2 linked regions of the Alligator mississippiensis genome follow. Each later gene encodes a partner of the first gene's protein in a complex. Links are inferred from orthologs where the notes say so. Each region holds a gene or a part of one and is shown on either strand. Other genes may lie near its edges.

Region 1 (11,439 bases):
ATCTACTATACAGTGAAGTAATGCATCATTTGCATCTGAGATCAAGTATCAATACTTTTCCCATAAATAATACTCACCTATTAAGTAGCCTTGCTTTTTAAAGTAATTCAAGGTTTTTTTTTCATCTCTACTAAGTTGTTCTTCATCTTTTTCTGCTTCTGCTTTCAGTCTCTCCTTCCTTCTGAATATTCTGTCAGAAGTAGGGTTGATAAGTGGAAACTTCAGGAGGTTTAAGGTCGTTCCTAAAAAACAAAATCCACACCATCCAAATGTATGACTACACTAACACAACGCAAGTTCAGTAGAAAAACACACTTTGATATTACGCCTGAAAAAGAGGGAAAAAAGCTTCCTAACCATAAATGTTTGCAGGTTATATAACTGCTTCAATTTTCTGCACAAAAAGGAACAGGCATACAATGAGAAAGTTAAAGTCAGCTAACAGAACAGCTAATAGCTGTGCTCAGAAATGACCAGTCACACTGGCCAGGATCAGCTCAGTGAAATTTCACTGTGTTTGAAGGAAGTTTTCAGCAATCATATTAGTTGGACTGTTAGCAAACAGCACAGACAGATGATGCTCTTCAGTTACCATCATATTAGCTCACCATGATTAAATGCTGCCAAAACATATTTAGTACCAAGTCACTTAATGTGATTGCTAGAAGCCATCTTCAGAAATAATAAATTTGCGTAGTGTAGACAAGGCCACTACGAACCAAACTTTAAGTCAAACCAAAACTCTTGTGGATTTTTAGGGACAAGAGCTGTTGAAGAGCTGGCTATAAAACAAATCTCATTGAAAAATGACAGGTGAGAGTTGCACACACATCTCTCTGCAACAACTACTGTGGCTTCAACAAATTCTGTGTTGACTTCTGTTATTAGTGCAGGAATGTGTTAGTGGGACTAGAAGAAAGGGAATCCTAGAACTCCAGATTAGTTTTGAACCCTTTCGCACTCTGGTGCATGTCATACAGAGATAGCACCCAAGAACCTGACATTTTAGCAGGAAGAATTGCCTGTGTGTGGGACCATGGTACAAATGCAAAAAAAAACCAAAAAAGGCAGAATTCTACGATGTTTATTTCACCATTAAAAGCTTACTTCTCCTGCTATTATCATAATTATTATTTATGGGTATTTATTTTTCCAAAATGGCTTATAAAGATTTTTGAATAAGTAATGGATCAAGTTTATAAAAAGTAAAATGTGACATTACTTAAGAAACTCGCATTTTGCTTCCAGTTACTTTTTTCTGTAAAGCACTGTAGTTTTGTTGAGACTGATTTTTTTTTTTTTATATTCATTAGCCAACACATTTTAAAATCCCAGCGTAGACAGTCACATATATTAACACGTATTAAAATAAAATTGCAAAGTGACATTTTGGAAAAAGCTGGGGGGGAGGGTAGGTCAACATTTTTGAAGGTAAATAACACTGACCAAGATATGACAGTTGGATAGCAAACCAGTAGCCTCTGAAATGAAAACAGTATTCCCTGCCAAGGTCTGGTCTCTGAAATCACTGATGAGGCTCTTAGCATGAAGGCAAAGGTCTGAATGAGCCTAAGAACAGAACTATCTTCTCACCAGGAATAAGTAGACATGAGACAAACTGCTGAGTTTGCAGAGTCACGTCTGTGCCTCTCTCATTTACCCTATATAAAGTGCCTGAGCTCCCACCCTACCTAAGACATCAGAATATTTTTCTTCACAAGGGCCAAATCCACTCTGTAACAAAATCAAAAGTGGGGGACCTCCGTTTCAAAGCACACTGCTTACTGTTGGATAATGCAGGCAAACATATTGCTTTCCCCCAAGTAGACTTAGTATCATGTGTTTGGCAAAGTTATATATAATATGCTCAAGTCTAGGCCAATGCCAACAAATCGACATCACTAAAGGACCAGATATACATTTAAGGGTCTCTATCCTGACTTAAAACTACCAGGCTTAAAAGTTAAATAGAATACTCCATTTCTAAAGCTCTACAGGTCATCCTTCTTCCCTCCCTACCCTTCCATGCCACAGCAGGCCTGGGAAAGGAAAAAGTGGTGGTGATGGATCCTCAAGTGCTGCTGCCCATGAAGTCCTGGAATGAGGGAGATGGGGGCTCCGGTGACACTGCCTGGGAGAGGAGTGCATATGAAGAATTCCTGGAGATGCAGGAGGTGCTGACTGCTCGGCGTGGGAGCTGCAAAGTACAGAATCTTTTCTTGTGAATTTCTGGAGAAGCTGAAAGCTTCACATAAGCAGGCAGCATTTCATGTAAGTCTGTAACCCAATCTCAGACAAGGCTCTTCAGCAAAAACTCCTGTAATAAGTCGCAGGCATCTTACTAAAGCTTATACATCTCTGATTTAGTTAAGTCTATAGGGTGCATCTCCACCCTCTGCCTTCAGCAGTGTAAGTCAGACACACGCACACAGGTAAAAAGGGACAGGACAGGGAGAGATCAAATACTGAATGACAGGCCAGGAACACTAAAATATTAGGAAGTGCCAGAATTAAGGTTTCTTGTGCAACCTTAATTCATTCCCCAGTGTGTATGCAGTACATCATAATCTTTAATTATCTATCACATCCTGTTTTTTGCATTGATCCCTTGCCTCATTCACTGTCCATGTTAAATGATACCCACTGAATGGGTAGCTGTATGTTTCTTTGGTTACTTGTGCAGCTGTAACCTTTATTTATTACACAGCATCTAAAGCCTGCACTGAACACAGAATTACACATTTTCTCTTGGGCACTTCCAAAGGTAGTTTGCAAACATTTGTGAATCTATCTTCACAACAACTCTGTGAAAAAAAAAAAGAGAGTAGTATTATTTCCAATTTACAGATCAGAATCTGAGGCAGAGATGAAGGACAAGTAACCAAGTGTCTAATACTCTGGATGTCTACTTTGAGATGGGTCCAGCTTTTTTCAGTTTGTAGAATTATGTAACACTTTCCATGCAAAGTTATAGCTAACTAAGGTGAGTGCCCAACAGTTCTGCATATCAAGGTCCTGGTAACTCAACCAGGAGTGATGCATGATTAGTGTTCAACAGTGTACATTTTGGTTTAAGTATCAGTACTAGTATCACAGAGGAAGTCTTTAGATGGGATCCAGTTTTCAACTGCCAGAACCACTAAGCCGTTCCTTTTCTTCTGTTTCACTAACTGGATACCTTCCAATTTCTAAAACAAGGGACCCAGAAATCACACAGCCACCTGCATCACTACTACACAACCCTTGCAGCACTGTTTTCCTTCCTGTGCACTGTACAAGGAAGGGGTCCATTTGCAAAAAACAAACAAACCACATAATAGGAGACAAACCTAAGGAGAGTCAGGATAAAAGACAGGCCATGAGCTGGGCCATATTATTGGGCTTTCTTTATGTTCTGAGTTTGTGCAGCATCTTGCACAATGGGGTCCTGGTAGGTGACTGGGCCTTCAACATAAGTTATTAGCACACTGGGTCAGACCAGTGGTCCATCTAACCCAGTAGCATATCTCTGACAGTGACAGGAGTGGATGCTTTAGAGCACTTGTGTCGAACAAACTGGGTCTCTGGACCAATCCTACGTGCTGGCCCCAACCCTGCAGGCTGCATGTGGTGTGCAGGCTAGACTCCATACCATGTGTGCTGGGGGCAGCACAGGGGGTCAGTCCATGGCACTACATGCAGCCCATGCCTCAGACCCTTGGGATCCTGCCTGTGCTCTGCAGACAGCGTGTGCCATGTGCTGGTCCTGGGGGCCCTGTGCACAAGTCCCAGGGCCAACACATGTTGCATATGGCACTCCGGGTTGGACCAGCCATGCAGGCTGCACGTGGCACAGGGGGCCGGCTTGGGAGATGCACTCCATACAACGCCCTTCTAGACCTGGACTCAGCATGCAAGGCCAGTCAACAGGACATCACATAGAGAGTGTTCCCTGTACCAACCCCATGCTACATACAGCATTCATGGCTGGTCCAGTGCTGTGTGCAGCATATAGTAGCCCTGAGGCTTGCTGTGCATGCAGCCCTGGGGCTAGCATAGGGTGTGTGCTGCCCATGGCAGGTGGGCTGGACCTAATACTGCATGCAGCACAGGGGGCCTGAGACACAGGCTGCGTGCAGCACCCCAAACCAACCTCCCATGCTTCCTTCAGCATGTGCCACAATTCAGCCCCAGTGGCCAGCGCATGTTGTATGGGGCTGGATCTGGTGCTACAGCCACTCCACAGGGGGTTGGTCCCAGCCTGGCCCATAGAATAGCTCAGGTATGCTCATCTACCCTGTGGGGCCCTACAAGTTTGACACCCCTGCTTTAGGAGAGAGCTGAACAGGGTATATCTAGAGTGACCTGTCCCATCATACCCTCCAACACATCCACCATTGGTTCAGGGAGGCAAGTAACAACAAAACAAATAGAAAATAAAACCCAAAGACAACTTGGCCCAGAAGGGCTTGCAGCACAATGGGACAACAGACACAAGTCCCCAGCTCTGACCTGGCCAGGGCGAGACGGTGGCTCTGTTGACCACTTCTGAGGCTCTGGATTTGCAGTAGTCGGACTGGAGCAGGGTGTTGAAGAGGGTGGACTTGCCCGAGTTGGTGGCACCCACAAGATACACATCCCCATTGCACTTCCAGGAGCCCTGCAGCTTGGAGATCAGCTCCTCCACCCCATAGCCCGTCTTGGCGCTGATCAGGTGAATGTCCACCAGGTGCTGCCTGCCTGCTGAACCCCTGATGCCTTTGGTGACAGGGTGGATGCCCGCCTGGGCACAGTTAAGCAGCAGCTGCTTTCGAAAGCGCTTCAGGTAATCATGTGAGTCTGGAGGCAGCAGGTCTACCTTGTTGCCCAGGACCATTATGTTGATGGTGGGGCCCAGCAGCTCGGGTAGGTCGGGCAGCAGCGTGTCAGGCAGGTCCAGCACATCGGCCACGTAGAGCACCAGTGGGGCACGGCCGTGGCGGGGCAGCTGGCGCAGGGCGGTGCTCACCAGGCTGCGGTACTGGTCCCGTGACACCTCCAGGCGCAGTGCCTGCTGGTGATGTACCAGGAGCCAGCAGCGCTGGCACACGGCACCCCGCAGCCCTCCCTGGCCCTCAGGCTCCCCCAGCAGGGAGAGGTATTTCTCACTGGGCATGTAGCCTGGCATGGCAGGGTCCTGGCAGTGCAGCTCTGCCCCGCAGCCCGAGCAGCTCACACTGCTGGTTGGCATGGATGGATCTGGCTGCCCCTTTGGCCTGTGCTGCCTCCGCTCCTGGCACCGCCTCTCCCGGGGGGGCTTTTTCGGCACCACCTCAGTGCCCCATGGCTTCTCCAGTTCCTCCGGCAGGTACTCTGGGAACACGAAAAGTTCCTCCTCGTTGCTGCCAGGCCCCAGGAGGTCCCACGGCACGGAGGCCAGCCCAGCAGGCAGTGGCTGGCAGCGCAGCCCGGGCCGCAGTTTGAACGGGGTGCCAAGAGCTCGGGCCCGGGCCTGGGCCCCAGCCACCAGCAAGCGGCGCAGGCAAAGGCGGTGCATGGCCGCGGCGGTAGCTGCCACCCGCGTGGGGAGCCCGGAGCACGCAGCGCGGGGCGGGGCGGGGCGGGGCGAGGCGGGGCGGAGCCGCTTGGGGGCGGGCCACGGGCTCTGTGCCCCGGGCTGGGCTGGGCGCCCAGCTCCCGCGGGGGGAAAGTTCCGCAGCGGCTGAAGCCGCCTTTGGGGGCGCTGATTCCCCGCCGCCTGCCCTGCCTGGCACACAGTAAAGGTGGAGGTTCCAAGTTGGAATCCCGAGTGTCCCCAACATTCGGGACAAAGGCGCAGGTTTCAGATGGGAATCCCGAGTGTCTCCCGGCTGGCAGAGGCAGAGCGCACAGGTCTGCAGCCAGAGATGCAGGGGGATGCACACGCCGGAAGGAGCTCGCAGGGAGTCACAGCGGAGCCCCCGCCGACAGACGTACCTAGTGGAGCAGCAGGCGGGGCAAGAGGAGCCCCAACAGTGCACCCTCGGGGAGCTCCCCACCCGAGGCTGCTCTGCCTGCAGGACTCCGGGTGGCTCGGCCCAAATTTACACCCCCCTTCTCCTTCATAAAGAGTGGTACGCGCTAATCGGCGCGGAAAGTGAGCACAGCGCATGCGCGCATACCAAAGCTTTCCCCTTCCCGTTTCTCTCTGGTGGGCGGAGCTCAAAGGCTCGGTTTCTTGCTCAGCCGTAGTACCGACCCGGAAGTAACGCAAGGACGTAACGTAGCCCGCGGAACTGCGACCGGGGAATTGGCGCAGCCGCAGTGCTCCCAGCGCATGCGCACTCCCTGCTCGGCTGTCTGGGGAGCCGGTGGCGCGCCGCTGCTTTCTTTGCTTGTCTTGTTCCGAGCTGTCCCCTCGCCCCAACCGCCGCCATGTACGACGCGGACGAGGGTGAGTGCGCCGCGCGGGCGGGGGGAGCACCGGGGCCCACTCTTGCCTCAGTCGGGGGGAGGCCTGTTCCGTTCCGGGGCGGGGAAGAGAACGTGGGTTTGCTCTGCGCCCCCCCTCCCCTCCCCTGGCGCATCGTGCGCCCGCAAACCTGTGCAGAACGCAGCGACTTCTGGGGGGAGGTTGGAACTCGTGCACCTTCAAGGCTTTCAAAGGGCAGCCTGCCAAACAGGAGTAGAGCAGAGCTGACACTGCTTCGCTTCAGGGAGCTGCCACATGTAGTGTGCCAGATGCAATAGGGGCTCCCCACCATCCAAAGCCGCCTGGGGATGGGGTTGCTCCTGCAAGTCGGGGTCACACAGGACTGGCCTAGTGTTTTTTCCCCTGGTCAAGAATCAGTGGCAGCGAGGAGCCAGTGTTTTCTGAGGGGCTGTGGCATCGGAAGAAAGAAATGCCAAAAGGTGGAGAGCTGGTGATGTTGAGTGGGTTGCCAGGGCGGGCATTGTTTTTCTTGGATGTGGGCCCCTGAAGGGGCATCCTAGCTATCAGAAGCAGGGAGCCTCCAGCCCCTTCCCTCAGTCTTTGCATTGAGTTCAGACTGACTTGCTGGTATTCACCTTTTACTGGTATTCACCATACCATTGCCTTTTCCTCCTTTCTATTAAGGACCAATGGACGAATAAAGACTTCTGTATTCAATTTGAAATACAGGGCAATGTAGCCTTGCCTGTTGTATTAAGTTCATTGGAAAGCTGTATGTAAATAAGTTTTTTTTTCTGCTAATGGATATCCAGTGTATGGACACATGATAATTCTTAGTCTGATTTCAGTGTTTTGCGTTCTTGTCAGATATGCAATATGATGAAGACGATGATGAAATCACTCCTGACTTGTGGCAAGAAGCATGCTGGATTGTTATTAGGTAACTTTCTGAAACTTAAATAAGGCATTTTGGTAGTAGTTGAGGTTGACCTTCTGATATGATACATTTCATCTGGAATTAGATGGAAATTCCAGAACTGCGTCTAGAATCATAAATGCTGTCACTTTAAGAATACAAGACCAGCTGAAAAGCGGTACACAGCTGCTTTATGTGTAAATTGCCAAAGATTAGTTGTTTTGCAATTCTGTGTCTGGTTAATGGGGAAGATAGTTGTGGGAACTCGGTGCAGTTTTTTTTCCTTAGGATACACTTAGTTTACATGTTAGATCCTGTTCTGTGTCCTGGCAATTCCTCTTGGAAGGGCCATATTTGAATACTCTGTTAGGAGAAGAAAATAAACAAATTCATTTCATATTTCAGTGATTGGTTTTGAAGAGACAGTACATATTTTGTGGATTTTTAAACATGGCTTCCAAAGTATCATATTTTGTTTAAAAAAAATAAAAATTCTTGTTCAGTAACTGAATGTACATTGTTTTTTCCCCTAAGCTCCTACTTTGATGAGAAGGGCTTGGTCCGACAGCAGCTGGATTCTTTTGATGAGTTCATCCAGATGTCTGTACAGAGAATTGTTGAAGATGCACCGCCTATTGATCTACAAGCTGAAGCTCAGCATGCTACAGGAGAAGTGGAAGAGCCGGTAAGAGGAGACCTTGTAGAGTCTCATTGTTTTTCAGGTGTACTGACTAAAATAGTATTTACCTCAATCAGCTGATATTACTCTTGTTTCACAAGAATGGAAATGCTAGTTCTGTTTCATCTTTTAACTGTGTATTTCTGCAGTGCATAAAGTCTCCTGCCACTTGGAAAGTTACTGTGTCCTGCTACTTCTTTTTTTCTTTCATCAGAAGACCAAGAATACAGTTAAATGGCTGTAGCAGCAGGCTCTCAGTTACTGCGATGTCATACAATTGCAAGGAAATATGTTATTGACAGAGGACAGTTAGAATGAGCAAGTAATCAAACGTAAGATTGAAAGGCTGGTCCAGAATCTCAATATTCTGTTGGTTAGGAACCTTCTAATTAACAGCTTACACTTATTTACGGATAATTTATACCCGTGTGTTCTTGTAGGTTAGTATTGTTAGATGAAGGCTGAATGGGAATCAGACTGCTGTTTTGCTAAATCGAGCAAGCCAATCAAACTTCCTTTTCCTCTTAGGTGAGGTGTGTCTCAATTTCCCTGTGAGTAGAGAGCCTATGAGGAACAGAAACAAGATCTAATTAGTAAAGACGGTTTTCTCTTAAAGGTTAAGTGCTATAGGGATAAATTACAAATTGCCAAAGTCAGTTTGAGTTAGATGTTGCAAAGGATGTTAAAACAGATAGCAAGAGGTTTTGTATGTGTACATGTGGATCCCACTCATGGTAGCTAAAAGCTCATTTAAGTAAAGACTTTGGAACTGGCAAATCAAGCTAAGCGTTTGACCTAGAAAGCTGACACCAGAGGTTAGTTAGTGACGTTTAAATTGAGCCACTGTTAACTGCCTTAAATAGTTCAGCTATTGGAAATCTGTCATAGAATGCTGCCAAAGCATTTTCTGGTGTAGCAGAGTAAGCTGTAATATTATGTAGAGGGGCAGTCCTAGTTTTAAGCCTGTGAAGCTAAACAGCCTTTGGGTTTGCTACCAAAGGCAAGTGGCTTGGCTCCTCTGCATTTACATTTTGCCCTGCGTACTGCTACAGAAAAGTTATAGAATCAGAAAATTAGGGTTGGAAGGAACCTCAGGAGATCATCTGGTCCAACCCCCTGCAAGTTCTAGTGATACCCAAGGAGTGCAATTTTGTTTCTCAGGAAAAAATACCCACAGTTAAGTGGGTGTATTCATATGTAAATACAATACCACTTTAAAAATGGAATTAGGGTGTGCTACCAGAAAAGACAGGGGGATTATACCTTAGCCCAGTATTGCTCACCATATCTCACCAGATTCCTCACAGTGATCCTTTGTGTTGGTTATGCTTGACTTGCATAACCAATTTTCATATGTCAGTGAATCCACTGCACAGGAAGTACATCAGCCTTCAGTTCCTGGCATCTGAAAATCATTACTGAGTTTCAAAATGCTCCACTTAGACCAGGGGTAGGCAACCCCTGGCATGTGTGCCATTGTGTGGCATGTGAAGCCATTTTGGTCGGCATGAACACCTCTGGGCGGATGGTGGGGGAGCCATGAGAGGCCGAATCCTTGTTGTGGCAGTGCAGCCCCAATCCCATCCCTGCTGTCAGCCCCAAGGCACACATGCATCCACTGCCAGCACCAAGCTGGGCTAGGGCTCTGTGGACTCCTGTGCAGCTGCTTGCAGCCTCCTTGCCATCTGCTGCAAGCAGCTGGGGCTCTACGGTAGGTGGCAAGGGCCTCCCCAGAGCCTGGGTTGGCTTTGGCAGGCAGCCTGGAGGCTGTAAGCAGCTATATCAGGGTCTGTGGAGCCAGACACAGCTAGTTGCAGGCGGCAGGTGCATGCATGCCTCGGGATGGGTGGCAGGGAAGATCAGCTGGGGCCGCACTGCCACAATAAGGATTAGGCCCTTCATGGTTCCCCTGCTGTCTGCTTCGGCACGCCAACATCTTGTAAATCCAGGTTGTGGGTGTTTTTGGCACCCTGACTTAACCCTTTCTGCTGCCCCTAGCGTAATTAATAAAGTGTGTGTCTGGCAATGGGGCCACATGGACACTTGTACGAAACAACTTTTTCTTCAGTAACTCATTCTTTGGGATGTTTTATACGTGAAAATCCTCCAAAGCTTGTCTTCTGCATTCTAATCTAGAAAGAAGCTGAGTGGCGATTATTGGCCCAATCTTTGTGTCTGAAGAGTGGTGATCTTGAGGGCATGCAGTATGTGTCGCATCTAACAATTTCTTGTGGCTAGTTGTACGTTCACCATGAGTGAGGTCTATATAGACAGAACATCTCGAAGAATTAGTTGACTAATCAAAGATAAATTAATCCAAGCAACAATTGTCCTAACTTAATGTGGAGGTTGATGATATTGTCTTTGAACAACTGGAGCTTTATTTGAGAAACATGACTCTCAGTTGAGGTAAAAGGAATGTATTGCTTCAGGATCTTATTTCTATGAGGTTTAAAATAAAACTACAGTAGAATGATTTTCGAAAAATTTTAATTGCTGAAAGACGTATTTTCTCATACTTTCATTCAGAGTAACAGGTAAAGACTTCTGTGGAAAGCAAAGCCTTTAAATATGATTGGGATGTGTATTATACAGATACCTTTTTCCAAAAGGAAAATTGTATCAATTAGTAAGAATTGGAATATAAATCTTTTTCATTCATAAATTTGCTACTGTTGAGCTATAGCAAATCAATGTGAACAAGATATACGTTTAAAAGAATCATTACATTCTGTTGTTTAATAGACATTTGCATTTAACAGACTTAGAAACTGTCAAATCATTTTTGAAACGGATGGTCACAATGTGAAACCTGAAAGGTCATGATTTTAAATACAGTACTTAACATATTTGGAACAGCGTCTTTCTGCCTTGTCTGTATTCCCAGGTCAGTTGAATACACATCTGACTTTGGCATGGGCAAACTAATAAGGAGAGTTGTTACTTTAGGCATGAAGAACAGCTTACACCTTTTTGAAAGCTGTTCCCCCCCCCCCCTATTTCTCTTCCTAAGAAACTGCTATATCTTAGTATTAAATAGGTAGGATAGTTCATATGAGAGCTTTATACGGAGAGGAAATTGGAAGAGGATGCTGCTGCATAGAGGAAACCCCTTGGAGTTTTGTCACTCTGACCTCACTCCTAATGTGTCGCTGTCCTTGCCTGCAAGATGTTAGGGTGTTTCAAATTTTTGTCCAAACTCGACAGTATGTAGTGTCCTCAGATGCTGAAGTGATAAGCCCTAGAAGAAGAATACAAGTATGATTAGAATATTACTGGCTTTGTGGTGTTGAGGAATCCCAGGAATTTTGCTTTTGAGTTGGAATTTTTTGCAGCTGGTCGAGCAGTGGTAGAATTCACGATACTGTGTGCTGCAGCTCAGATTTTTAAACTTTGTTTCCTTTCTGGTCCAATAAACGTGGATACTCTTTAGGAAATTATTTTGTTTCCAAGAATTAATTATGTGATTTCATT
Region 2 (11,332 bases), on another chromosome or scaffold:
CAAGTGTAAGGAGAAGGCAAACAGATGGAAAAGCAATGAAAACAATTTGTGTAACCCATGCTTTTCTTTCCCCTTCCCATGATTTTCTTGCATCTGCTTGTTATTCCACATCTTAATTATGATGGCATCCCTGGAGCAGGAACTGAAGTGTTCATGGGTTCTGAAATATTTTAAGCTTTAGTATTACTTCTACTACTAATAAAAGAAAAATAAGTACACCTGACAACTAACCATTCTATAAGAACGCCTTTCAGGACATTCACCATCTTCTCACCACTTTACAAAGGCCAGAAGGGGCAGTCAATGAAGGCAGGTCTGGCTCTGGAATCTGTGTGTGATTGGTGAAAACCTAAACAGACCAAACCAAAGAAGTCAGGCTATAACATTTTCCAAAGGCATATCATGGAAAAAATGCACCTTGGGCAGCTGCCTTTCACCCTCTCCCCACCTCCTCTCCTACCTTCTTAGTTGCAGATGGAAAACAGAACAGAGAGCCAGGCATTTAAAGGTTTGTTTTTTGGGAATTGGCTTACAGGTATGTATATATATCTATATATATATATATCTATGCATTAGAAAGGTTCAAGATAGGCAGCAGGGGTTAACTGATTTCTAAGAGTCTGGGTCACACAATCACACAGCTTTGCAAGCAGACAGGTTGTCTAACACAACAAGGCAAACAAGAACCTATAGTCTGGAAAACAATCTGGGAACAGAGGGATTATGTATTACACTGCCCATAACACGAGTTAAAGAGGCACCAGCTAACAAGGCCCCAGAGCAGGGAAGCCTAGGTCCCGGTTTTGGGGGAACAGATCAAATCAGGAGAAGGCCCGGAAAGCTACGTGGACATTTGACCACAGAGAGAGACCAATCAATGATAGCCATGGATGAAGAGTCATCAGGAGGGAAGGAGAATACAAAAGCAGAGACTTGAGAGTAACAAAGGGTTTCCTCCCCATCCTATCCCAGGTCCTTCCTCCCCGTCTCCCAGGAAGGGTCACCCAGGCCACCATGGACAGAGGGCACACCACCAGCCCGTCTCATCCACCCCACTAGAGATGGGGCATAGGCCTCAGCATCCCACCTCCAGACTGCTGACATAGGACACCTAAGAGAGAGCATCAGAGTGGAGACTGCATCCTGGCTAGATGTACTTTAATGACAGCACTAAGATAAGGCAGATGTATACAATTTCTTGAATGTTGCTCCTAATACTGTGTATCAATAAATTTGCTTATTATCAAATGGAAAGGTTGTGGTCAGTCTTAGGGTGCTCACCCCCAGCCCCCAACCAAGGCCTCTGGGTCTTAAATCCAAAGCCAACAGTGTCATGGAGTGCATGGTGTTCTGGAAATAATAGTTCTTCAGACTGGCAGTGGAGTTTGCTACTCCCAGGAGAAACTTTCAGCCCATTTTTTTGCCTCCAAAGCCTATGTCCAGAGAGCAAGAAAGAAGGCTGAATTTGTCAGCAAAAAAATGGAGATCAGCTCTACAAAACTATAATTCCCATTTCCGGCACTGGCAATGTATGTCAGAGGCAGGAAATGAGGCGGGTAGGCAGCAGAGACAGAGGCAAGCAGTCCTTGTGGGCACAAGTGCCCTGCTTGTCCACTCTATGTTACACTACCGACTTCTCTACTGACCAAAGTGGACATTCAGAGTTTGCACTGGCACATGCCCAGACCATCCTGAGATAAACCATACACACAAAAAGCAAGCAAAGACCTAACTAAATTAAATCCAGCTCACGCTGTTGGCTGAGAACTGCCAGAACCAAAAAAGGGCTGGAGCCTTGCTGGAGCCACAATGATGCTCAGTAAAGATGGGAAAAGCCGGGGTGGTGGCAATTTTTGGTGATCTCTTTTAGTACCCCAACAGGACAGGTAGGAGAGATGTGGCACAAGCTTTAGGGCACAAATGACACCCATCACTAGAAGCTAAATAAGTGTGTGCATGCATGTCTGTCTGCCTGTGAATAGATACATATGCGCGTGTGTGTATTTATCTGAGGATGTATACATACATTCATAGTTTCATAGTAGCTAGGGTCAGGAGGGACCTGAACAGATCATCTAGCCTGACCCCCTGCCACAGGCAGGAATGAATGCTGGGTTCACAAGACCCCAGACAGGTGATCATCCAACCTCCTCTTGAATTTGCCCAAGGTAGGGGCGAGGACCACTTCCCTGGGAAGTTGGTTCCAGATTTTGGCCACCCTAACTGTAAAATATTGCCTTCTGATCTCTAACCTAAACCTATTCTCCATCAGCTTAATACCATTGTTCCTTGTCACCCCAGGTGGTGCTGGAGAGAAAAGTGGTCTGCCTATTTGCTGTTGATCTCCCCTGATGAGCTTGTAGGCAGCCACTAGGTCTCCCCTCAGTATCCTCTTGCTAAGGCTGAACAAGTTCAGGTCCTTCAGTCTCTCCTCATAGGGCCTGCCCTGCTGCTCTCTCACCAAGTGGGTGGCCCTCCTCTGAACCCTCTCCACATCCCTTTTGAAGTGCGGCGCCCAGTACTGGACGCAGTACTCCAACTGCAGCCTGACCAAAGTTGCATAGAGGGGGACTATCACCTCTCTGGACTGGCTTGAGATGCACCTTTGGATGCATGACAAGGTATGGCTGGCCTTGCTGGCTGCGGTCTGGCCTTGTTGGCTGCGGTCTGGCAATGGCCTGTATGTATGCTGTGGATTCCTTCTCCCAAGGTGCAGCACCCTCCATTTGTCTACGTTGAACCCCATCCTATTCTCATCTTCACACTTTCATAGTCTGTCTAAATCTAGTTGCAGCCTCTCTCTCCCTTCAAGTGTGTCCACCTCACCCCACATCTTAGTGTCATCAGCAAATTTGGACAGCGTGCTTTCCACCCCCTCACCTAAGTTGCTGATGAAGATGTTAAACAGTGCCGGCCCAAGGACCAACCCTGGGGTACCCCACTGCTCACATCTCGCCAGGTTGAGTACGACCCATTCACCACTACTCTCTAGGTCCACCCCATCAGCCAATTTTGTACCCATCCAACTGTGCAGGCATCAATGCCACAGTCACTTAATTTATTGATGAGGATGGGGTGAGAGACAGTGTCAAAGGCCTTCTTAAAGTCTAGAAAGACTACGTCCACGGCGACACCATCATCCAAGGATTTCGTTACTTGGTCATAAAAGGCAATCGGGTTGGTCAGGCAGGACCTGCCTTTGATGAACCCATGCTGATTGCCCCTGAGCATGATCTCGCCTGCAGGGCCCCCACAGATGTGCTCCTGGATGATTCTCTCCAAGATCTTCCCGAGCACCAAGGTGAGGCTTACAGGCCTATAGTTACTTGGGTCCTCCTTCCTCCCTTTCTTGAAAATCGGGACCACATTAGCCAGTTTCCAATCCCCCGGCACCTGACCAGATGACCACAAACGCTCATACAGCCAGGCCAAGGGCTCCGTGATGACCCCTGCCAGCTCCCTCAACACCCTTGGGTGGAAGGCATCTGGACCTGCAGATTTTAAAATGTCTAGCCCTTCCAGAAGATCCCTAACTACGTCTGCACTGACTGAAGGCCTGACAGAGCTATCCCCAAGACTGTCCCTACCTCTGGTAGGCGGGATGTTCTGGTCCCTGTTCAAGAAAATAGACGTTGTGCGTCTGTGTTTGTGAATGTACACTTACGCATGTATATCTGTGCTTGTGGATATATACATGCACGCGTGCGCAGAAATGACTCAAGATAGGTGCAGGGCCCTGCCCCCAGACACCAGGAAGCCGACAGCGGATTTGGCGGTGGAGGAGGGGGCGTGGTACCAAGTGGCTAGATGCTGATTCCACGCTGTCGCCGGCTTCACATGGCCGCTCTGCCCGGCTCCGCAGGGTACCCCAAAGCACAGGGCTCGGGGCAATTGCCCCGATTCGCTCCCCACTAGGGACAGCCCTGCATGTATGTGTGCCTGTATATACACGAGGATGTACACCTGTATGTGTGCACATATCTGTCTATACACATGCAGGGCCGTCCCTAGTAGGGGACAAATTGGGGAAACCACCCTGGGCCCCGCAGAGCAGGGAGGAGTGGCCACGGCAACTCCGCACTAACGCTGGCTTCATGTCCGGCCGCTTGGCACCCCCTCCCCCGGAATCTGCTACCCGCTTTCTCGCGTCTGGAGGCAGAGCCCCGCAAAGCCTGATTTGCCCTGTGCCCCGCACCCTGCTCAGATCGTCTCTGTACACATGCATATACAAATGCACATGTGCGTGTGTCTATACATGTGCTTTGACATGCATGGGCCGGCCTGTACATACAGCTATACTCATGCCTGAATGCACGCATGTATCTGTCTACACATATGGCTGCAGATATGCATGTGCCAGTGCATCTGCTTAGGCATGAGGAAACGCAGCAGTGTGCACGCGCATGTCTGCATGTGGCTTGAACGCGTGTCTACTTTTGGGGCTGTACACACGTGTGTACTTAAACCCCTGTGTCGCCAAGAGGACCAGGCCCCTCCGCGCCTGAGAAGCAGGACCGGCGCCGCGCGCCCCTCCCCCCGCGCCCACCACGTGACGGGTGGCGGTTGGGGAGCCTCGCTCTGCCCCTCCCCCACCTACCGGCCGTTGGTTCCGCCGACGACAGTAGAACCCCGGCCGCCGCCTCCGGCGCCCGGTTCCTAAACAGAAAGCAAACTTCCCGTGCAACCCATGCGCATGCGCAACCTCAACGCCCTCCCTCTCCCCACCCACTTCCTCCGCGCTCAGCCCGGGTTCGCAGAGACGCTCTGATGACGTCATCGAACACGTTGACCTGCCGGAAGTAAGGCTGGAAGGAAGGCCGTGCTCAGGGATGCTGCTGCGGCTTGCGGGTCAGGTAAGGCGCGGGCGCGGCTGGAGGGCGGAGCCTGAGGGGAGGGGGAGGAGTCTGGGCAAAGCCCAGGGTTTCCAAGCCCCCCTTTAGGGATGAAACCCGCCCCACCCCATCGCCGAGAATGGACTCTTCCGTGAGTGACGATTTTCTCTGCCTGCGCGAGGCCCCTCCCCCTCCCGGCGCGTAGCTTTGCGTCACGTGTCCCCAGCGTTCTGCGGCCGTTTGAGTTTGTAAACCGCTGCGTATACTCGCCCTGCTTCCTGCTGTATTTCCTCATACTACATGCGCCCAGTATATAAGCAGCCCTTTGCTTTGGGAAGGCATCTTGAACGGGAGCAAAATATATAGTTTGCAGTCTTGGGCTGACTGGGCCCCCCCCTTTGTTTTCCTGCTCGACTCCAGGCTGAAATAGGAGGCGAGCCCAGGAGCAGGCAGAAACCTTGCCCTTGATTAGTGGAGCGTCAAACAGCTGGTAATCCCTGTGGAGTGAAAAGCAATGAGCCATTGGAGCCAATGGCCCTCAGCTGTTGGAAAAGGAGGAGTACTGGCATGGTGATGGAGCTGCAGGCGAAGCGGGGTGCTTTTACACCAAACAGAAAAGTCACTTTACCTGCTAAATACACGTGCCCCAATTTTGAGGGGCTGATTTTTGCAGGAGAAGAGATGCTGTTGAGCCCCAGCTCAAGTCTGGGATTGTGCCCGGTATGCAAAGGCCAATAAAGATACCAGGGGTGAAAGTATAAACAAGATTTATTGCTAGCAATAAAAGGTGCAAGCGGAATAATTTCACAGAACAAGCACACCAGATTTCTAATTCTAAGCCCCTTTTATACAGGGATTTTAGACCTTCATAAGCATCCTTGTTTGCTAATTGGCTATAAAGGAGTGACGCAAGGAGTTCTTTACTGAGCATGTCTCTATACCTGTGTTTTAGCTATGTATCTCATTAACGTACATGTATGTTTCATTAGCATACCTCTTCCCCACCTAGGGGTGTGATTTTTAGTATTTTAATGAGCTCTTTGACCCAGTACTCTGATTCTGCTTTTGTTTTCAAGCCTCCTTTATCTAAGACTGTCTCCTCCTTATCATTGCAGATGGGCATTCGTCACATAACATTCACTTTTGCTTGGGCTTTGCATAGTAGTTTCTAGGTCAAACCTCACAATGCGTTGTAGGGGAGAAAACATGTTAGCTTTCAACATGTTATGGATTCCTTGTAAAAGTACGAAGAGGCCTGGCTTGGGCTTTTTAAATCCCCTTAGACACTTCAGAAGTCAGAGCGGACAGGGCGCTCCTCCTCTTTTGGGCTGCTGCCTTGTGAGCAAGTTCAGCCTGAGATGAATGTAGCCCTGTGCCGCTTGTGTGGTGCTGTCATTTCCAGGTCCCCGATGTCAGTGGAAGGCTGGCATGGTCCTCGACTGCTCTGGAGAGTACGAGGTCAGGATAACGACACGAGACACCCTAAATTTTAACCGCTGTCTGAATCCACTGGTGGAAAAAATGCAGTATGTTAACAAGGCAAGGTTCTTTTGAGTAGATGTGTTATCTTTTATTAGACCGAGTAGTTCGAAAAAAGTTTTTAGCAAGCTTTCAGACTAGCTAAGAACTAGAAAATCATATGCCTTAAGAAGGGTGATTGCCCCCAAATGCTTTCTAAGAACTTTTTTCCAACTACTCAGTTGGTCTAATAAAAGATATCACATCTACTCAAAAAACCTTATGTGCCTATGTCCTTAGACCTACACAACTACAACCAAAAATTCAGCATGCTAACAATGCTTCTTGCAGGTGGAGGCAGACCTGGTCTCCTGTCCAGATTAACCAACCCATTCCCGTCCTCCTGGATTTCCATGCAGTGTTGCTCCTCAGGGGCCCAATCCAAAGACCATTAATTGCAGAGAAACACTAGTTGCTTTGTCTTTGTGTTTCCAAATGGACCATGTGAGCAGTGTAGGGAATTGTAGTGGCTTCTGTCACACAGTCACAGATCCACTGTGCTTGCTGCAACTACACTCTGTGATTAAGTGGTGTATAAAAAAAAAAACTTTCTGAAGTTAGGATTGGACCATTAACTGAAACGGTTCTCTAGAGATGAAAGGAAAGGCAACTGCTTTCATGCTGCAGTGCATATTTTTTCTTAACTGCTCAAGTAGTGTGTTTTAAGCCTTTGGTTATTATGAATGTATGAAGGAAGGTGAAGAAACTGTCTTTGGTTTGGGTGCTGCTTTTTCTTTATTTATTTTAAACAAAAGAAAATGGAAAGCAAAAGTCCCTCAAAGGGACCAGTTATTGACATGGTCAGCATTTTTCCTTGTGTTGTGTCCCTTTGTGGAGGAAGATGGGTGGTAAGAAGTGCATCATGTTGCTGAAATAGTAACCATTGCTAGCAAGCTGTCTACAGTAGCACCAAATCTGTTTTAGTCGTCTTTGGAGGAAGTGATCCTGATACCATAGAATTATTTTAAAGAAAGGAAGGAAGGAGAGCAGCAAAATAAGGATGCTGGACTTCCAAAAGGTTCATTTGAACCATGTTTTAGAAATAGTAGGTAAGCTACAATGAATAGGCAAATTAAAAGAAAAAGGACATAATTTTAATAGTCTCAGCATCAGACTATTCCCATGAAAAAAGAAGATAACAAGCACCATAAGAGACCAATGTTGCTGCATTGGCTGCCATGGTAGATCTAAACTGATGCATACCAGCAATGGGAAGAAAAGCATGCATCTGTAGAGGTGGACAGATAATGACAAACATGGGAAAAGTGAAGGCAAAAAATCGCCAAAGGTTTCCAACAACTGGCAAGAAATGTTAAAGACAACAAGAGAGATTTCTACACATACATCAGACAAGGAAAAACTAAAAAAGAGAGACCAAGAAGCCTGTGGGTCTATTACTCAAAGAATGTAAACTATTAATGGAAATTTCAAAGAAGGTGGAACTGTCCAATGCCTTCACAAGAGAAAAAACAAACAAAAAACCCCCACTCCAAAAACAACCAACCCAAAGAAAAAATAGCAGAATTAATATAATAAATGAACAGGAAGGATGCCGGTCATGTTAAGCAAATAATATAGTAGAGAATTTTTGACTAATCTGAATTTAAGTCAGGAGGCTGTGCAGTATTCAACCAAGGGTACTGAAGGATCTCACTGAAAAAAATCTCAGAGCTACAGGCAATAATAGATGAAGATCATGGATGGCAGGCAAGGTCCCAGACAACTGGTAAGGCTTACATACTGTACTACCCATTTTTAAAAGGGGAAAGAGAAGGACCCAGCAAGGTATAAGATCAGTCAGCCTGACATCAGTGCCAAGGAAGTTACTAACAGGTTGACTGTTTTATGCACATATTGATCACTGACAGATGACATGGATTTGTTAAGAGCAAATCATGCCAAATCTTTGCTCCTTTTACAGGATAACTTGATTTGGATCATAAGGTAAAAATGGTGATTGTAAATATTTGGACTTCAGTCCTACATGCCAGTCTTGTAAGTAACCTGGAAAAGTATGTCCTAGATCAGAGGTTCCCAACCACTGGACTGTGGCCCGGTACTGGGCTGCGAAGGATTGGCTGCCGAGTCGTGACTCCCATTTGTCTACCCAGGCAAGTGGCTTCTGCTGGCAGTCACGTGCAGGGATAAAGCTCGGCAACGGGGAAGCCTGGGAGGGAGGCAGCCAGCTCCATGCGTCCCATCCCACCCCCGCTGGTCTGCTGTATAGAAAAGGTTGGGAACCACTGTCCTAGACATAATTACCATGCATGCTAGTATTCATAGTATCATAAAAAGTTAGAGTTGGAAGGGATCTCAGAAGGTCATCTGCTCCAATTCCCTGCTCAAAGCAGGACCATCCTCACTTATATCATCCTAGCCAAGGCTTTGTCTAGCCAAGTCTTCAAAACCTTCAAGGATGGAGACTCCACCATGTCTCTGGATAATCTGTTCCAGTGCTTTGCTACCCTCCTTGTGAGAGAGTTTTTCCTAACATCTCACCTAAACTTTCCTTGCTGAAACTTGAGACCATTGCTGTTTGTTCTGTCATCTGCCACTACTGAGAATAATCTAGCTCTATCCTCTTTGGAGCTACCCTTTAGGTAGTTGAAGGCTGGTATTAAATCCCCCATCAGTCTTTTCCAGACTAAATAAGCCCAGTTCCCTCAGCCTGTCCTTATAAGTCATGTGCCCCAGCCTCCTCACTGTTTTTTATTTTTTGCCCTCCACTGGGCTCTCCAATTTGTCTACATCCTTTCTGTAGTGGGGGGCCCAAAACTGGACACACTACTCCAGATGTGGTCTCACAAGTGCCCAATAGAACGGACTACTCACTTTCCTCAATCTACTGGCAACACTCCTACCAATGCAGCCCATTATGCTGTTAGCTTTTTTTGTAACAAGGGCACACTGTTGGCTCATATTCAGCTTATTGTCTGCTATAGCCCTCAAGTCCTTTTCTGCAGAGCTGCCGCTTAGCCAGTTAGTCCCCAGCCTGTACCAGTGCGTAGGATTATTCTAAGTGCAGAACTTTGTACCTGCCGTTACTGAACCTCATGAGTTTTCTTTTGGCTTAGTCCTCCAATTTCTCAAGTTCTCTCTAAATCCTAGCCCTACCCTCCAATGTATCTTCCACTCCCCCGTTTGGTGTCATCTGTAAGATTGCTGAAGTCGCCCTTGATCCCATCATCCAGGTCACTGATGAAGATACTGAACAAAACCGGCCCTAGGACCAACCCCTGGGGCACTCCACATGATACTGGCTGCCAACTAGACATAGAGCTGTTGATTACTACTCCCTGAGTCCAATGATCCAGCCAGTTTTCTATCCATCTTACAGTCTATTCATCCAGCCTATACTTCCTTAGCTTGCCTGCGAGAATGTTGTGGGAAAACATATCAAAAGCCTTGCTGAAGTCAAGGATATCACATTAACTGCTCTTCCCGCCTCCATAGAGCCAGTCACCTCATCATAGGAGGCAATCAGGTTGGTCAGGCATGATTTGCTCTTGGTGAACCTATGCCGACTGTCCCTAATCGCCACCGTCTCCTTCAGATTGTCATTTTGAGTTGTAGTTTTTGTAATATGGTGTCTTAATTTTACTTAAAGTATACTTGTATCTTCCCACCATATTTATATATTTGTTAAATATATGACATGGCTGAAGTGACTTGAGTTTTATAACTAATCTAATGTCTTAAATGAATTGATAATGAAGCCTATGTAACTTATTCAGTGCAAGTATCTGATGATATTGTTGCATCAGAAAAATAATACTTCCATATTATTACTGCAGCACACACAGGGGCATATTTATACTTTTTTGTCTTTGTTTCTATTTTAAGATTATCATCAACATGTATTATCAATGTATCAATAGTTAAAGCCTACCTAAAATATTCTCTTACAGTCCATCCTTCTACCAGAAAAAATGTATTCAAAATATGCTGGAAACACTTTAAGCATGTTTTAAGATTTGCCATAAAGCACTCAGTGTAATATATAAAATGTGATTACTGTTACAGTAAAAAAAAAAAAAAAAAAATAGGGGTGTGTTTCCATTACTTGATGATGGCATCTTTTCATATGTTGTTCATGCAGGAGTTCATGCCTGGTTATAATTCAAATTGTACATGTTATGTTAAGGCATGCAATGAGTGATGGTCACTTACCCTACAAACATTCCTACCCTTCTGAGCAGCTCAGAAGACAAGTTGTGTGATGCAGTCATAGATCCTTCTTTGGTTTCCCCTTTCTTCAAGCAAAAAAGTAATCTGCATTAGCCCTGTCCCATGCGCGGAATAAGTCTCCCTATGTGTCAGAGCAGTCAAGGTGCGCTCTCCTTTCCTCTTCACTGTGACCTGCCTTCTTGTTAACGCAGAGCACGTCTACACATGCACTTTAATACACAGTAGACTATTTTACTGCGCATTAAGGCATCATGTAAAAAACTATGACATTATGCTAATGAGTATTAAAATAGTCTACTGCGCACTATAGTGTCACTAAAAAGGTGTGCAAATGCGCTACTGCACCTAATGTACATTAATTTAGAACCTCACATTGGAGGTACTACATTTAATGCACATTAGAAAAGATGCATTAATGCACGTGTGGACATGCCCATAGTCGAGCAATGGTTCTGCATACATGAGAAAAGAGATTCAGTTAGGCTCTTGATTTCCAAAATTCAGGCTTTCACAAATAAGCATTCATGCTACCGGACAGTGCTGTATAATATACAAACATGGCAATGCATTTTCTGTCCTATACTTTAATCAATTTCTTCTAATCCTGGTTAAGAATATATGTCTTGTAGGAGTTTACCTATAGTTTTTGCCTTTTAAGATTCATTCCAGGTGTTTTCCCCCAAATAAGAATTTCTTAACTCTTGTCAATGGTTCTTGAAACAAGATGTGCCATATCTTCATTTACATTTATGCCTCTCATGTGTGTATATAGAGTTCTCCCACAACAATGTCTG

Evidence for each region.
Region 2: POLR2B (region 1) and GTF2H5 share a complex: the UniProt entries of both Homo sapiens proteins name them as parts of the TBP-based Pol II pre-initiation complex. The link is inferred for Alligator mississippiensis from reciprocal best matches to the Homo sapiens genes POLR2B and GTF2H5.

Annotation. Positions count from the first base shown.
Region 1 is NC_081825.1:140,544,543-140,555,981, reverse strand, and holds the start of POLR2B (DNA-directed RNA polymerase II subunit RPB2), read left to right. Parts: upstream 1-6,260; 5' UTR 6,261-6,372; coding exon 6,373-6,391; intron 6,392-7,237; coding exon 7,238-7,310; intron 7,311-7,820; coding exon 7,821-7,971; intron 7,972-11,439. Other genes in the region: NOA1 (nitric oxide-associated protein 1), read right to left, coding at 78-242, 4,492-5,515. UniProt on the Homo sapiens protein: Catalytic core component of RNA polymerase II (Pol II), a DNA-dependent RNA polymerase which synthesizes mRNA precursors and many functional non-coding RNAs using the four ribonucleoside triphosphates as substrates.
Region 2 is NC_081824.1:136,361,493-136,372,824, reverse strand, and holds the start of GTF2H5 (general transcription factor IIH subunit 5), read right to left. Parts: upstream 4,697-11,332; 5' UTR 4,598-4,696; intron 350-4,597; 5' UTR 267-349; coding exon 232-266; intron 1-231. UniProt on the Homo sapiens protein: Component of the general transcription and DNA repair factor IIH (TFIIH) core complex, which is involved in general and transcription-coupled nucleotide excision repair (NER) of damaged DNA and, when complexed to CAK, in RNA transcription by RNA polymerase II.